2 linked regions of the Caenorhabditis elegans genome follow. The protein of the gene in region 2 purifies or fractionates together with the protein of the main gene of each other region. This does not show direct contact. Each region holds a gene or a part of one and is shown on either strand. Other genes may lie near its edges.

Region 1 (7,407 bases), 1.4 Mb from region 2:
CTAGCAGTAAAAAACGTATTTCAAATATTGCAACAAAGAGTTAAAACTGCTTTCTTTTCCTCTCCTCTAAACTGAATCGGTCTGAAGCTGAGGCAATTTTGCTGTTTTATAATAGTTATATAACCTTCCCCTCCTAAATTTCATTTAAACATCAATACTGTCAAAAAATATATATATAAATTTTTTTGAAAAGTTTTACTATGATATTTTGGCATTTTAGCACCATAGAAGTGGGTTTAAACAATTTTTCCACTACTCTGCCTTCAGAGCAAAAAAATGTGAATAGTTTTATGAAGAGCAATCCATATTCATAAGATTGGATTTGTAATCTGATGCCATTACTATCAAGAATATACCTAACGAGCTTCAGCGGTTTGTTCTGTAAGAATATGGAAGCACATTTACTTAGGCATTTCTCATAAATGCGAGCCATTCCATTCCGAAAGAAAAACGGAAGAAAAATTTTAATGTGACATTCAAAACGGATCTCATTTCCATTTCGGAGCTTTGACTCCTCTTGTGGGTGAGCAAAATTGGAATTCAAAATTTCCAATTTAAAACACGGAGAAGGCAGAGCTGGAGAATGTTGGAAACTAAGCCTACATTCCTCCAGGAGTACCACCACGTTTAGTACGCCTGATTTGATACGGGCATATGAGCACGCGAGCAAAGACCGTGAATTCATTTCGATTCACGTGGACCTCTTGGATTAACCAGTGTGCCGAACCAGCACCCTCCTCAAGCCCCTATTCGATTACACTTCTCTCTTTTCCACCACCAGTCTTATTTATTTCAAATCAAAGCACTACTCGTTTTCTTCTTTTTCTTCTGCTACTTGGCTCCTCCTTCCTCACCCATCGTTAGCGGTACACAAGTTTATAGTTTATAGTTTATTTAAGCACATTTAGTCATATAATTCATAATGTTTTTCTAGTACTGTTCATATAAAAGTTTGCCAGTGATTTATCAGAAAGAGCCTCAGAAAGAAAAAAAGATTTGAATCTTAATGAATCGGAAAGTTGAAAGCACAAATACACTGAGATGGGGCAAGAATTCATTATACTTTCCGTGTTTTGTTATTTACTGAAATGCTCCCAATTTTCCCTAGATATTGCGTTTCTCCGTCTTGAAATCCGAATACCTCCTTCTCCTCCTCCTCCTCACTTGATTCCGTGTAGGACTTGTGAGGCTCGCTGGCAAAACTCCGGAAATCAAACAAGAATCGCGTTTCTTTTGCTCCTCTCTCTCTTCGTCCTTTTTTGTTCACAAAATCTAATTTGAAGAGGCGATTAAAGGTGTTGAATTGAAAAGGAACGACGTCATCTTGCTTAATCTGGCGGTCAAATCATTTTTTTAATCTAAGTTTTGTTTTCGGTAAGCTTTGGTTTTTTCAACAAATTTCCGGATTTTGTGTGGGCGGTTCGGGAACTTTTGAATGTATTAACCTAAAATATGCCCGAATGAACATGATGAATCTTCTCAAAAAAATTTTTCAAAATTTTTATAACACGGTTCAAAATTTCGAAAAAATTTGGCTCGAATTAAGTTAAAATCGCAAGTTTTCAACACTGTTTTGCGCCCAAAAAAGCGCCAAAATTGAAAATTATGGGTGAAATTAGACCTTCTTTCTATCGAAATTTTGAACCTTTATGAAAAATTTATGAAAATTTTTTGAGCAATCTCATTACCAAAATCGTTCTTTTGAGCGAATTTCGAGCTTATACGTTCCAAATTTCCCTAACAGTTAGTCCACTTGTAAGGAATTTTCGATATTGCTGAAAACTCTAATAGCGAAATAATAGCGGTAGTATGTATTGTCATATTTTTCAAAATTTTTAGTTCAAAGTTTTCCACAAAAAAAGTTTGCCTCTTGAGAAATTTCTAACATTTCTGCAAGTTTGAACTTCTGTGATGCTAAATTTCAAACAATTACTGCATAATCGGAATTTCAAAAATCCAAAATTTTTTTTAGGATTTTCAAAGTTATTATAGGGAAAAACTGATCTTGTTTTACTATAAATTTTGCATCTTTGAATGATTTTAAACAATTTCACCACTGGCTAGACATTTTAGCCTATTTCGAATTCCCAAGCTGCAATCTGAAAACCTTTTTTTTTCGAAGTGATCTGCGTTGTGACGGTTTGCAATATTTTCTTGTAATTCCTATTTTCAGGATTCGAGTTTTTTTCCCTACAAGACATATACTTCCCGTATGTTAATATTACCACCACTCCCAGAATAGCTAATATGATTAGTAGGTAGTGCTTTTAGCGCACATCTGTAAAGATGGTGAGAGCGTAGGGACGAAGACGACATTGGGACAGCGGCCACGCCCATTTCCTCTCAATTAATAAGACGTGCCTCTGAGCACACTTTTGCGCCATCCTTTCCCGTGCTCTTAACGCTCAGAAGTCAGTAGTGACCCTACTAACAACTCATTGAGAAAGAAGACGACGACAACCCGTGGGGGCAAAGTGGTCACACAAGTAAGAAACCGCGCCCCGTTTTCGTGTCTGTCGTGTGTCCCGCTATCCGTCCGGCGGGTCTAGTCCGTCTTTCCTGCTCCTTATTTGTGACGAATTGTCAGAAGGAAGAAAACGGAGAAGAAACAGCAGCAACAGCAGAAGAAGCAACTAGAAGCAAAAGCAGAAGCCGACAAAGAAGAAGAAGAAGCCTAAGGCCGTGTGAGCTGCCCCTCCGAGTTGTGTTGCGTGATTCGCCACTTCTTTGGATGAGGCCAATTGTGGTGTGACATACAGACACACATCGCATAAATACTGCCCCCCCCCCCCTTTTTTTTCAACCATTCCGTTTCCGACACGACGACTGACTCTTCAGTCAGTCATTCCTAGCCGTCCACGCTCGCCACCACTTCCCCGTCGCCCTGTTTTCCACAAAATTATTTTTCTAGTCTTTCCTTCTACTACTCTGGATACTGTAGCGCCTCTTGCTGAAACATGGCTGAACTAATCGAAGAGGTGAGCACTGCTACTCACGCTTCTCTCAATGCATGTGACCCGATTGTAGTGAATTCTGAGGTATGTTTTTTAATACTAATTTTTGTCTTGAAATTGGTCATGACTGAACGTTTCGAAAAGTTGGAAAAAACCATTGGGGCCTAAGGGTGCGCGGCAATTGCCGACCGGCAATTCTACAAAATATGACAGTTGGGCATGAGCTTTTGCATTTAAATTTAAGGATGTAATCTGGGAATAAGTATGAGTTCACTTGAAGCAACCGAAAAAACACACAAAAATCGACACATTTTCCGGAAATTTTCAGCAGAAATTTTCAATATTCAGACGATTTTTGAAAAATTCTCCACAGATATTTTCAAAAAAAAAAAAACCAAATATTTTTCTATATTATATCATCAAATTTTAATGAAAAATGTCGAGCCAACTGTCTCATTTCGTAGAATTTATTGCCGTGAACTTCTAATTGAGACTTTTTTTGCAAATCTAACTTCAACTTCAGTTTGTTGGTCGGAATGTGCACTTTTTAAGTGAGTTAGCTGCGTGTGAACCGAAAGACTATTCTAATCCAGTTTGCTTCCTTTTTTCCTCTTATTTTGTTTTGGGCTCTTCTTCAGTAAAGGCTCCATAGCATAGCTTTTTTTAATTTCGCAATTCTTCTCGTTTTGCCCATTTTGTCTTGCCAAAACAATAATGCGACTTTCCGACACAAAATTGTGTGAGAAATCTCGTCATTTTACCGCATCTCGACCTTCTCCTAAATGTTTTCGCAGCTGCTTGTGAGCCATCAAGAAAGGCAGAAGCTGGCAAACGGGAAGAGACGAAGGCTCACCCTTACTCAACGATAATTAGATGAGTACATGGATGTGAGATGGCTTCTTCCTTTTATTTGTGCTAGAAAGAAGACCGAAACATTGAAACACTCGCGCAGCACCGAACATTCAGGATTGCGAGCGGATATGTGCTGTGCGAATTGAAATAAGCGGAAAGTAGTGCAGTAATGAGAAATAGTGACCTCAACTACCTCAACTAGTCAACCATAGAAACGAGAATATCACGCAATTTACGCGGCAATTATACTACTGGATAGTTGAGGGGAGATGTCAAAAGGGGCATGACAACCAAAGTCAGCGTCAACTAGTGTTTTCGTTTCGACAGTTTCTATCTGTTTTGTGTGAATCGCGGAAAACTTTCCAACATGGAGTCTAAATTGATTTGTTATACCAAATTTGCGTACTGTTGATGGAAATTCGGAGAACTGGTTGTGTTTTTCAATATTTCCCGGTAGTCAAGTTTTGAAGTTTTTTAATTGAACATATATCATTGTGCCAAGTTTGGCAGATTTGTTCGGCAAATATTAGTATTTTCGGCACTCATTAAACATTTTGTCCAAAAATAAAAGTTTTGATCAGATATTTTATGAAAAAAAAAACATAGCATAGTGTTTTTATATGTTTTATTTAAAAAAAAATCGACACGTGCATTAGGCACACAATAAACGAAAATTATTTGTTTTCCATTAATTTTGACACTTTTTGAGCTCAAAAAAACATTTCAATTTACCGAGTTTGAGAACCACGGAAAAGGTGCCTAATTTGCCGAATTTCTCGAGTTCGGCAAATATTCAAACAAAAAAAATTTGCCGAACTTGTCGAGCTCGGCAAATCTCAAAGTTTGCCGCACACATTTGACACAATCCCTGAATGTGTTTCAAATTTTGTAAGGATATTTCTCAAAAATACAAAGTCTGTGACACAGAAAAGTGACCAAAATCGGGAAGTTTAGCTAAAATTGGGTTATTTTTTTTCGAAAATTTGCACCGCCTACATTTTAGAAAAAAAATTGAGCAGTTTCATAACATGTACGTTTAAAATGCCACGAGCTTGCGATTTTGCTTATATCTATCCCATTATGAAATTTATCGATGTTTTGTAAAGAAATTCGAAATATATATATAATGAAGCAGATTAAATCCAATCCCCTTTTCGTTCTGCCTCAACAATAGGTTATTCTCATATATTTCTATAATCAGAAGGAAAACAAATGGAGAATAATGTGGCACAGAGGAAAAAACAAGCAACCCAGGTTGACATCCAGCTTGGCTTGAATAATCTGGAACCTTTGGTCCCTCTATTGTTTCCTGCTCAATGTGTGTTTCTTTTTTTTCCTTGTTGTCGTTCAATGTACAAGGAATATTTACTTACGTTCATCATGTTTTGAGAACAAAATTGTTTTGCTTTGTTGTTTCTTTCTATCCAACCAAAACTTTTTGATTTTTTGGCCGCCATAGTTTTTGTATACAGTGTTGGCTAAAAAGGTACTCCTGATTGCAACTCTGAAACTGGAAAAATTTATTGCTCGTCACTATGTTTTTTTTTGTTTTTAAAGCGGCCGACATCTCGTAAGCCATTTCAACTCTTATATCTTATTTTTCTGACTGATTAAACAAAACGAAAAGTATTGTAAAGATAAATTTACTATCACAAACTTTCCATTAAAAATGTGGGTTTTGAGTTATCATCAAAAATGGATTCACGAAATGTCGGCGGCTTTATTTTTCGCCATGATTTTTGTGTAAAACTCAAACACCTAAAACAAGTAAACATAGTCATGGGAAATATTTTGATCATTTTTCAACAACTTTTATAGTTTCCGAGTTTTACTACTGTGAAAATTCAGCAGAACTACCAAACAACTATTTTTGGCCAGCACTATGAGTTGCAATATGATGACAGAAATTGTATACAGTTTTGATATTAGATACTTTATTATTATTATTATTCACAACATCCAAACCTGGTGCCCTTATCGACCCGTCTGCCACTAATAATTCCCAAGTCCCCCAGCGTTCTACATCCACTGCTCGCTATATTGCGTGCACACAGTCTCTCTCGTCTTCTGAAATAGACGAGCCATTGTCGTCTTCCTATTCGCCCTCTTGGGGGATGACCTGTTCGGTCATGCAGCAGATCGCGTCTCCCCTCATCTCTGTGTGTTGTTTCCAATTGCGCTCTCATCGTTCATCGATTTGGTGCAAAGACATCTGTGCATTGCGCGATACGTACCACATGTTCTCATCCACGCTGTTCACTTGCATATATCTACATCTATTTTTTTAATAGTTCCCTCTTCGTTTCACATTCCCACTTTCCGCTTTTTGTCTAGATTTTTCTCTTATTTTTTATTTTCAAAATCTGGTTCCACTTTTGTCGTGCCATTCTTCACTAGCCACCCAACTGATTTCGCGCCGTTCGTTACCCATCTCTCATCTGGTCACCACCCGCTGCGTCGGTTTCATGTAAATGCGCTCAAAACATCATCGATGAAAATGAATTGGAAACAAAATAGCTTCTCACACCCTAAGTCACTATGTTTTCCAACAACTGTTCACTTTTGCTGTGAATTTCGAAGATGCGTCACCTGAGAGAAAGGGCAACTGCTTTTCAAATCGTGGTGTCGTTTTCTGTCTGGAGTTTTGATGAGTCCTATCAATAAGCTTCATGATTTATGACAGTAGAAACCTTTTCCGGCTCCGTTCCTGGTTCGATTTTCAGTGGCCCCGTGCTCTAGATTATTTTTAGATGGTTATCTACCTTACGTAGTTGCACAGTCCATTCCTCATTTCAATATCTCCTCTCTCAAATTAAAATTTCATAATTCTAATATGTTCGAGAAAATATTAAAGTTTTGTTGAAATATTAATACAATTTTTCCAGTTCACCTCCTTTGAACTTTTCCTACTGCATCACCAACCACCCCGCACCACTACGGCTACATTTTGTTCTCCCCAGATATTGACCGTCTAGTCAAAAAAAAGTGTTCTCAATTTTGAAAGTTATTGTTTTTTTTTCGAAAAAATTTTATTTTGTATTTCTTTTCCAGCATCAAAATCTGTAAGCCTTCCGATCCTACAGTTATCTCCCCCACTGTTTTTACGTTTCCTTCTCAGGGGCTATCGTCTCCCTATTTGACATCCCTGTCATCGAGTGTTTATATTAATAGAGGTGCAGCTAAAACAAAAAAAAAGGGGGGGGGGGCAACAAAAACCTAGTGACGCACAACTTGTAAAGGTCAGTTCGACTGTGTTGGGTAGTAAACTGTGCGCAGTAGTCTCTCTCTCTTGATCCATATGGTCGAAACGCAAACTCATCCCTCTTATCGACCGCCGCGAATGTCTCCGCAAGTTAAGGTGAGCCCATCAATTGAAATATAATTCAAATTTCCGATTTGCGTTAGGCTGAGCACATGAACATGACGTTATGAATTACTGCTGATTGAGTATGACAGATATAACTATTTCAAGGCAAAAATGCTTCTTTTTTTTAAGACTAAATTAAGAATAATCGATATTAATATTATCTTTCAAGGAGAAGTAACACTTTTAAACTGCTCAAATTGTGCTCAAAAAAACTAATTTCGTAAATTTTATGAC
Region 2 (7,951 bases):
ATTGGTTACAGTTCTCAGCCATCTCGTCTCACTTTTCGCTCGATTAACCGCATCACATTCCATCGCAATTGACTCTATCCATTCGAAACGGTGTCGTATTTTCACTCTCTTAGGGGTCTCTTAGAAATTCTCTGCACAATAGGAGCAGCAAATCGAATTTCTCCAGATACTGATTGAAAATTGAGAGGGAGAGAGAGAGAGAGATGAGGTTGGAGTATTTTGAAAAGAAGAGGTTAAATGAAATAAAGGCGAGCTAGTTGAGAAATGTTTAGAAGTGAAACAATGTATTTCCAATTTGTTTAGAACTTCTTGTGCATTCGGGAAGTAAATGACTTTTTTCTATTCTCAACCATTATGAAATTTTTCCACCATCACAAGTTTCTCCTGACATTTTCTTTCGTTTCTTGTTTTCAGTTATTAGAAAACGTTCCTCATCACCAATGTATGCCTCTCCTAATCTATGCATTAGACTACTGTTTCGTGGAATGATAATCTTAGGCTGCTGCTGGTACCAGCAGTTAACACAGCAGCCCTATGAATCCTTTATGCCACTCCATCGCCTCACGATTCTTACGACATTTGTTCTGCGCAGGCATCTGGTGCGTCTGCTTGCCAGAGGACCACCAGAGTGGCTTACAGGAGCTCAACATGTATATTTATTGCACTGGTAGAGATGTCAACTGTTTACAAGTCTCAAAATGTTTCTGCCCTAACCCTCCCCGGGCCCCCCCCCCCCCCCTCCCTCACTCATTCTGTCACTTTCTCCTGGTGTTTCGAAGAAAGGAAGATGAAATAAATGAGACGATTGCCGAAAACACGCGTAATCATAATTGACTTTTTATTTATTTCTTTTGCGACCACATCAGCAGGTTTGGCATCTGCCGCCGTTATCAAAGGCATGCCCTAAGACATCATCAGTGCGCACGTCGTCGGTGATGGAAAAATGCATGTTTTTCGCGCCGCGTGAAGCAATTCAGTAGATTGTTCCCGATCCAGGCCGTAGGCCTCGAGCCGGGGAAAGTTTCATGTTTCGTTCGTTCTTCAACGGCTCGCGCTCGCACTTTTTCGTTGGCTCTTGGCCTATTTGTTTTCGGGGCGATGAACCAACCGCCTTTAAGACCAGTTTTCTTTTCACTCGAAATATATTTTTGCTACCTCCTTCTTCTTCTACTCCTGCTGGCGCTCATCCGGCAAAAAAACTCAGCTGACTGCTCTTGATGCACCTGAGCTTGTTTATTTTCTCTCTTTAATTTTGAATCATTCAAGATGATGCTAGCTAGTATGTAAATTGTTAAAAGCTCATCAAATAGTGTCAAAAATTTTTTATTTGTTGAAATTTTGTTATTTTGTTTTGAAAAGTAGTTACTACTCAGTTTTTGCCACTTTTTTGGAAGTCATCGATTGAAACATGTTCCTTACAGTTTGATGGTCTCCATCAGTTTTAATTATTAATATTCACACATTGTACGGATTTGAACATGCGACAGTGCTATAGTTTTCTCAAAAAGTTGCAAAAACTCGATGGTATCCCCTTTTTCCCCACTATTTGTAAAGCTTCTTCACCTTTAGTAAAAAATTTGGTTCTGGTATTTGGTATTCAGAGCCCTTCCAGTTTTAGTTCTACCCCCCCCCCCCCCCCCTCTAATCAATCATTTTGTAACAAACAGTTTCATTCAGTCATGTGTCTTCGAAGTTTTGCGGACGGACATAAATAACATAAAAAAGTGAAATTTCCTCTCTGCATGGTTTATACGGTCTCTGTGCTTACTATCGAAGATAAACTGATATGATGAGAAACACCACCACGTCCGGGTTTCAAATCTTCAACACTTTCCCATATTTTCAATGCACATGGCACTTCACATAAGAATCCTTAAAGTTTTTCCATGTAAATGTGACGAACCGCCATATTCAGAGTGCTCTGCGTCGTTCAACAACAGCTTTCCAAGTCCTCCAATTGTTTAATCAGGCGGTGAGGACGAGGGGCGGTAAAGACTCCCATACTCGAAACGCACAGATTTGAAGCAATTGTATTCCCGAAAAACAAGACTAGCCCCCGGGAGGAGGAGAGCATCAGTTTGTTTCTTTTGCCTCCCACTGTTTTCGCTGCCTTTCTCGGATTGTCCAAACATGCGAACGTCTTAGTCCGAGCACATTGAGCGAACGGTATTTTTTTCTTTTTTTGTAGCATCGCAACAAATTGGGCTCTCTTTGCTATTTTTGGGCACAAACAAATGGTTGTTTCATTTTTGAATCGCCGCCAAATTCAAAATCCTCTGTACATTCCTCTCAGCTAAAATTTCACACAGAAAAAGAAAAACAAAAAATTATACTGCAGTTCGTAATTGTTTTCCAAATAACATCTTACAGTATAAGTATTATTCTGTATTTCCCACCACCACATCATGAATGCAATGTGATCAGAGATGGATTATTTCTTCATTCTGTCTCTATTCTTTTCTTCTTGGAGCAACTTCTCCTTGTCGCATCCTTTGATTGAGCCTTCTTTCTTCTTATTCTTCTCCTCCTTCTTCTTTTACTTCATCCCAACATCCACCCACTCGTTGTCAGTTGAGCTCTGTTGTTATTTCGCGTTTTATTTCTCTTCATCGATTTCAATCTTTTTTTTCTGGATCAGCATGACATAAATCGATACTCCAGAGGTGGTGTTATTTGCGCAACGGCTCATTGTGGTGAAATATTATGGCAAAAATTGACCGGGGGGAAGAGTGTTGGAAAGAAAGAGTCAATTTTTGCGACGACAGGCGGGCGGTGGTTGGCTTCTGTTTGGAGAGCAGCAAAACTTTGACAGGCTCACCCACCACCGGAGACAGACCTACGGATTTTGTGCGCGCGCGAGCTTTTCGTCGGCTCGTTCTTATCCATTTCTATTTTATCTCTCTCTCGCGATTTGTCGCCTTTCGTTTAGTTTTCACTATCTCTACCTATGTGGTCTCTGAGGTAAGTAAGGTCTCTGATAACTCATTGATCATGACGAGTGATAGATAATAGCAGTGTAAAGTTTTCAGTTTCATGTTGGCTCTAGCTCATTTCCTATTGATTCACACCTTCGATGTTGTATATGTTTTTTTAAATTATCGTTTATAAACTTCTCATATTTCTATGTATATATATACAAAACTTCAAACAAAAACATTTTGCAGGTCAATTTCACGGTATTTAAGCTAGGCCCTATATAAATCAAGTAAAAAATGTACGGCCAAGTCCAAGATCCACTGGTGCATGCTGCTGCCGCTGCTTTGGCACAATCAACCAACGCCGAACCAGTAGTTGGTGAGTTTCCTGTGATCCCCATCGAATTGTCACATGATGATGGTTTAGAGAGGGAAAAAGATAGGGAAAAATGACAGTGGTATGCAACTTTTGTGTGTAACCTCACATATGGTTCCACTTAAAAGAAGACTTGCGATAGGAATAGAAACTGGAAATATTTCAAATTTTTTAGTTCATCTCCATTCATTTTCAGGTTCCCGTGATACCATGTTCACCAAAATCTTTGTCGGTGGTCTGCCATACCATACAAGTGACAAGACGCTTCACGAGTATTTTGAGCAGTTTGGAGATATTGAAGAGGCTGTAGTCATCACTGATCGTAACACACAAAAAAGCAGAGGATATGGATTTGTAAGTCACTGGAATGTCAAAAATTTCTAGTTTGCGATATTTTTTCACGAGATCTTACGTTGGAGGTCAATTGAAACGAAACGGTTTCTAATCATCAATCACTTTTGACATGATTAACCATTTTTTATCTTGTCCGTCCAGATAAAAGAGGAAACAATTTCGTTTGATTTAACTTCACTAAATTGGAAAATAATTCGGGAACAAGGTGGATGAAGAAATCTTCAAATTTCCGAAATCTCGCGGTTCTGCTTTGACCTCTCAAGCGGCTCTTCATAGGAATCGCACGCGTATTTTGTTAGCAAACATTTCCCAACCATATATATCTCAACAAATAGTTGCAACAGCAAAGATGGAAAGATTACTCTTCGCAAAAAAACATGATCTTTACATATGTTTGTTAATGAAACATAACTTTTCAGGTAACAATGAAGGACCGTGCTTCTGCAGAAAGAGCTTGTAAAGATCCAAATCCAATCATTGATGGAAGGAAGGCTAATGTCAACTTGGCATACCTCGGAGCTAAACCAAGAACAAATGTGCAACTTGCTGGTAAGTTTCGAATTTTTGTGCGGCTCTTGAGCAGCTCTCAGATCATTTTATTCTCCCCGTGTGTTTTGGCTTCTGCTAAACATTATCAATCCTCCACAACCTTCATAACCAAAGGATATTGTTTGTGTCGCGCATCTCTATTCAGTTTTTGTCTGTGTTAACCAAAATCACCAAGTTGGTCATTTTAGCGCTGGCCGCTGGACAAGTTCAACTTCCACTCACCACTCAACTTCAGGCTTTGTTTCAACCAAGAATGGGGTAAGTTTCGGTGATTTGCCTGTGTGTGACATACTTCCAACAATTCCTATCTCATCCAAAAATCACCGCTAATTGAGTTGTGTTGATACAGAAAAAAGAAACAACACGACAACAACAGCAATGACAAAACACTGTAGAACTTTGTGCTCTAGCTCAAAAGTTGCCTAGGATACTTGAGAAGTACTCTTGTGTTCAACCATCTTCACACGTTTAATAATAACTTAAATAATATTAATGATTGTAAACCAAAATATTTTAAGACAAGTGGCCGGTTGAATCGAAATCCGTGGATGCCTAAAACTAAAGGTTAGGCGTGCTTTGACGTGTGCCAATATCATTACTTTCATTTTCCAAACCAAAAGCGGAATACAATAGTGCTGTGTTTTTGACGTGTCCATACTCTCTTTCTCTTCATTTTCACCTATTTCCCAAACCTATATGATTTCGAGTTTTTCTCTTTTCCCTTGGTGAAAACTTGCATAGTCCTGAATGAACTGAGCACCCCAAAGTTGTTTTCTTCATTGGTGGGATTGATGATTATTTCTTTGTAGGTCAATGGGTTTGGCTGCCTAACTAAAACCATCACGCATTTTCTAAACTTTGCTATAGTTTGGTTACGTCTTTTCTGATACTTTTTTTTTTGGAATTTTGAAGTTGTCAATGATTTTACTTTTCATTCTATCCAAATATGTTAGATATTTCTTTTGCACTAACTCAAAAAAACTGAACTGAAAAAATGTGGAGTTTCTTAATATTGTTAAAACAAAAACAAAAATAATTATACTTTCCAGAACCAAAAAAAGTGAATTTTTATCACGCATGTGCGTGTTTTTTGGGTGATATTGTGATAAACACTGTTGCCTCATTTCCAGCATTTGGCATTTACATCCTCCTGTCAATTCCGTGTTCGGTAATTAATCAATACTTTTTTTTAGACTTCCTCAAATGTATTATCCGACTGTCACAGGACTGGTCAATCCGTTGATGGCACAACAAGGAGCCGCTGCTCAGCAACAATTGTTCGATTATAATGCTCTGGCCGCAGTAATGAACCCACAAGCTGCCGCCGCTTATGGTATTCAGTCCCAAGGAAAATGTATGTTCGACGATAGGAAGTTAAAATTAAATAAAAATTTTTTTTTTTCAAATTTAATAAAACATTTTCAGTCGCAGCCGCCCCTACAACAATTGAGCAATACGCCGCCTATCCAGCAGGATACGGCCTAGTTCCCCAATCTGCCTACAATATTGGAAACCCACAGTTGCAACAATTAGCTGCCGCACAACAACAGCTTGAGCATCAACGTGTCTAGAATCCTAATAATATTCTTCAATTTGTCATTCACTCATTCATAAAACCGATTGTCATTGTCGTCCCAGCAATAATTCGCCAACTGATTTTGCCAATAGAGAACATAGGTATTTGCCCGAGTTATACTGATAATTTTACAACTTTGTCCTACCCAAATATCAGATTCTTACGCAAATCAAACAGTTCTATCTAGTCTTCCAATTTCAACTTTATTCCCATATACTTTACAATTTTAGTCACAGTTCTTTTTGATTTTGTCAATTTTTTTCTTATTCATTTCAAATTACAAATCTCTGATGTGGGTTTCTACACGTTCGATGTTTTTTCTTCTCAATTTTTTCCCGAAACGCCAGAGTTGCCTGATTTTAATGTGCCATTTGCACATCCTCATTGAATTTGCAAATTAATTTCATATGGTGAGTTCGTAATAGTCGTACATGTTCCTGCATTTAATGTTTACAATAAACCGATTTCAAAACCTAATCACGTGTGATGCAGAAACTGGAAGTAGTTGTAATGAACGGGGGTTTAAACAGAAGGCAGATGGATACAACAGGAACTAGTTGCAGCATTAGGTCATCTTGGCAAACAGTAAGAAATAATGCAATACTATATTGTAGTTTCGTAGATCGAATTTAAAACAAAAAATACAGTACTAGGCAGAATGATACTTTTAGAATGAATGATAATTTTTTGACGAATTTTTTCCATCCAAAAAAATAGGGAAAAGAACCTGTGAAAGAAGAAAAAACTGGCTCTGAAAATATAATATCCTGACTGATTGAAGTTGTCGATCCTGTAAATTCTAAAACTGATAGTAGTGGTAGTAGATGACATTGAACACTTCCGAATGACATTTCAGGCTGAAAATTAAAAAAAATTGAAATGCCTTGAGAAACCATCTACAAATAGTAAATAGTAGAATAACTAACCGAAATGAGGGTAGAGAATAATTATTTTAAGCTGCTCGAGACATTTTGGCCACCACTGAAAACAAAACGTTATAAAATTAAACTACCGTTCCAAATATCCCATCTCTCAATTTTAAAACCCTTTTTAAAGCACGATAGAATGATTAAATTTTTAAAATATTCTGAAACTTTTTCGAATGAAGTTCAAAGACTAGAAAGTCTAACAATATTTAAAATTGAGTATGGTGAGGGGATTTTGTTTATAAATCTTCGCATTCTTAGATATCTAATTAGAAATTTAAAACAAATGAGGAGATAATAATACAGGGTGGCCTATAATTATGCGGACCGAGTTGCTCTCACAAAAATATGTTTTTTTCTCGCCTGACAAATTTTAAATTTTTGTTTTATTTGTTCATTGATAGCTGACATGTTTTCCTATTAGCTAACTTTAAAAAAATGTGATTTGTTAAACTACGCAATCTAGGCAGAGTCGTCAAACTAGCATCATCTCCCACACTGACGACTCTTTGACACGCATCGATTTTTGAGTGTGGAAATTTCGAAACCGATCTTTTCTACAGTAATGTATACATTTTGGAAGCGAAAAATATATTTTAATAAATGTTGAAGTATATGGAATTGGTTCCATGAAATTCCAGCTCCTGTTGGGTGATTGTTTGACAGTAACTACAGCCGATTTTACAAGGAGTTCAATAGCTAGTGACAGTTTTTGGTATATATCAGCCATAAAATGAGATAAGCACATAATTGTTGCCACAAGGAAAGAAAAATATTAGTAGAATCATATGGCTATTTATCAAAACATTCACTTTTTACATAACTGATGTGCCAAGTGGAACGTCGGCTTTCTGATGTTCTTGATTTGTCTCCCTTCAATCAATGACCACATCAATGTCAGATGAAAACATTTATGAATTTTATTGCAAAACGGATTCTCAGAAAAAAGTCAATCCAAATATGATTGCTAAAGTGATGATATTTGCAATAGAACCTAGAAATGACAACAAAAAGGAGAACACCAATGAGTTGCGTGCCAACGTCAAAATTTTTTAGGAATGTCAGCAGGCCTGTAGAATTTCACAAGCGGAAAATTTGAAAGTTTGACAACAAATTTTGTTCCTTAGAAAATTTGAAATAAAATATGTGTTGTTATCATATTTTTGAATGTTCCAATCAGATTTTATGAGTACGACTTGCGGTCCGCATAGTTATGGGCCACCCTGTATTAACTGAATCTTGTACGATGTTGGTT

What was found. Proteins that work in one complex are often made in the same cells at the same time.
Region 1: the proteins of sup-12 (region 2) and fox-1 purify together in Caenorhabditis elegans (affinity purification with western blotting, with the first as the bait; one study listed by BioGRID). This does not show direct contact.

Annotation. Positions count from the first base shown.
Region 1 is NC_003284.9:2,451,500-2,458,906, reverse strand, and holds the start of fox-1 (Sex determination protein fox-1), read left to right. Parts: upstream 1-2,957; coding exon 2,958-3,038; intron 3,039-7,407. UniProt on the Caenorhabditis elegans protein: RNA-binding protein that regulates tissue-specific alternative splicing events by binding to 5'-UGCAUG-3' and 5'-GCACG-3' elements. Also binds to poly(A), poly(G), poly(C), or poly(U) stretches of RNA.
Region 2 is NC_003284.9:3,901,427-3,909,377, forward strand, and holds sup-12 (RRM domain-containing protein), read left to right. Parts: upstream 1-3,164; 5' UTR 3,165-3,212; coding exon 3,213-3,294; intron 3,295-3,487; coding exon 3,488-3,645; intron 3,646-4,064; coding exon 4,065-4,194; intron 4,195-4,382; coding exon 4,383-4,452; intron 4,453-4,712; coding exon of another isoform or gene 4,713-4,728; exon of another isoform or gene 4,729-4,758; intron 4,759-5,387; coding exon 5,388-5,548; intron 5,549-5,619; coding exon 5,620-5,765; 3' UTR 5,766-6,245; downstream 6,246-7,951. Other genes in the region: T22B2.5 (Neur_chan_memb domain-containing protein), read right to left, coding at 6,718-6,751.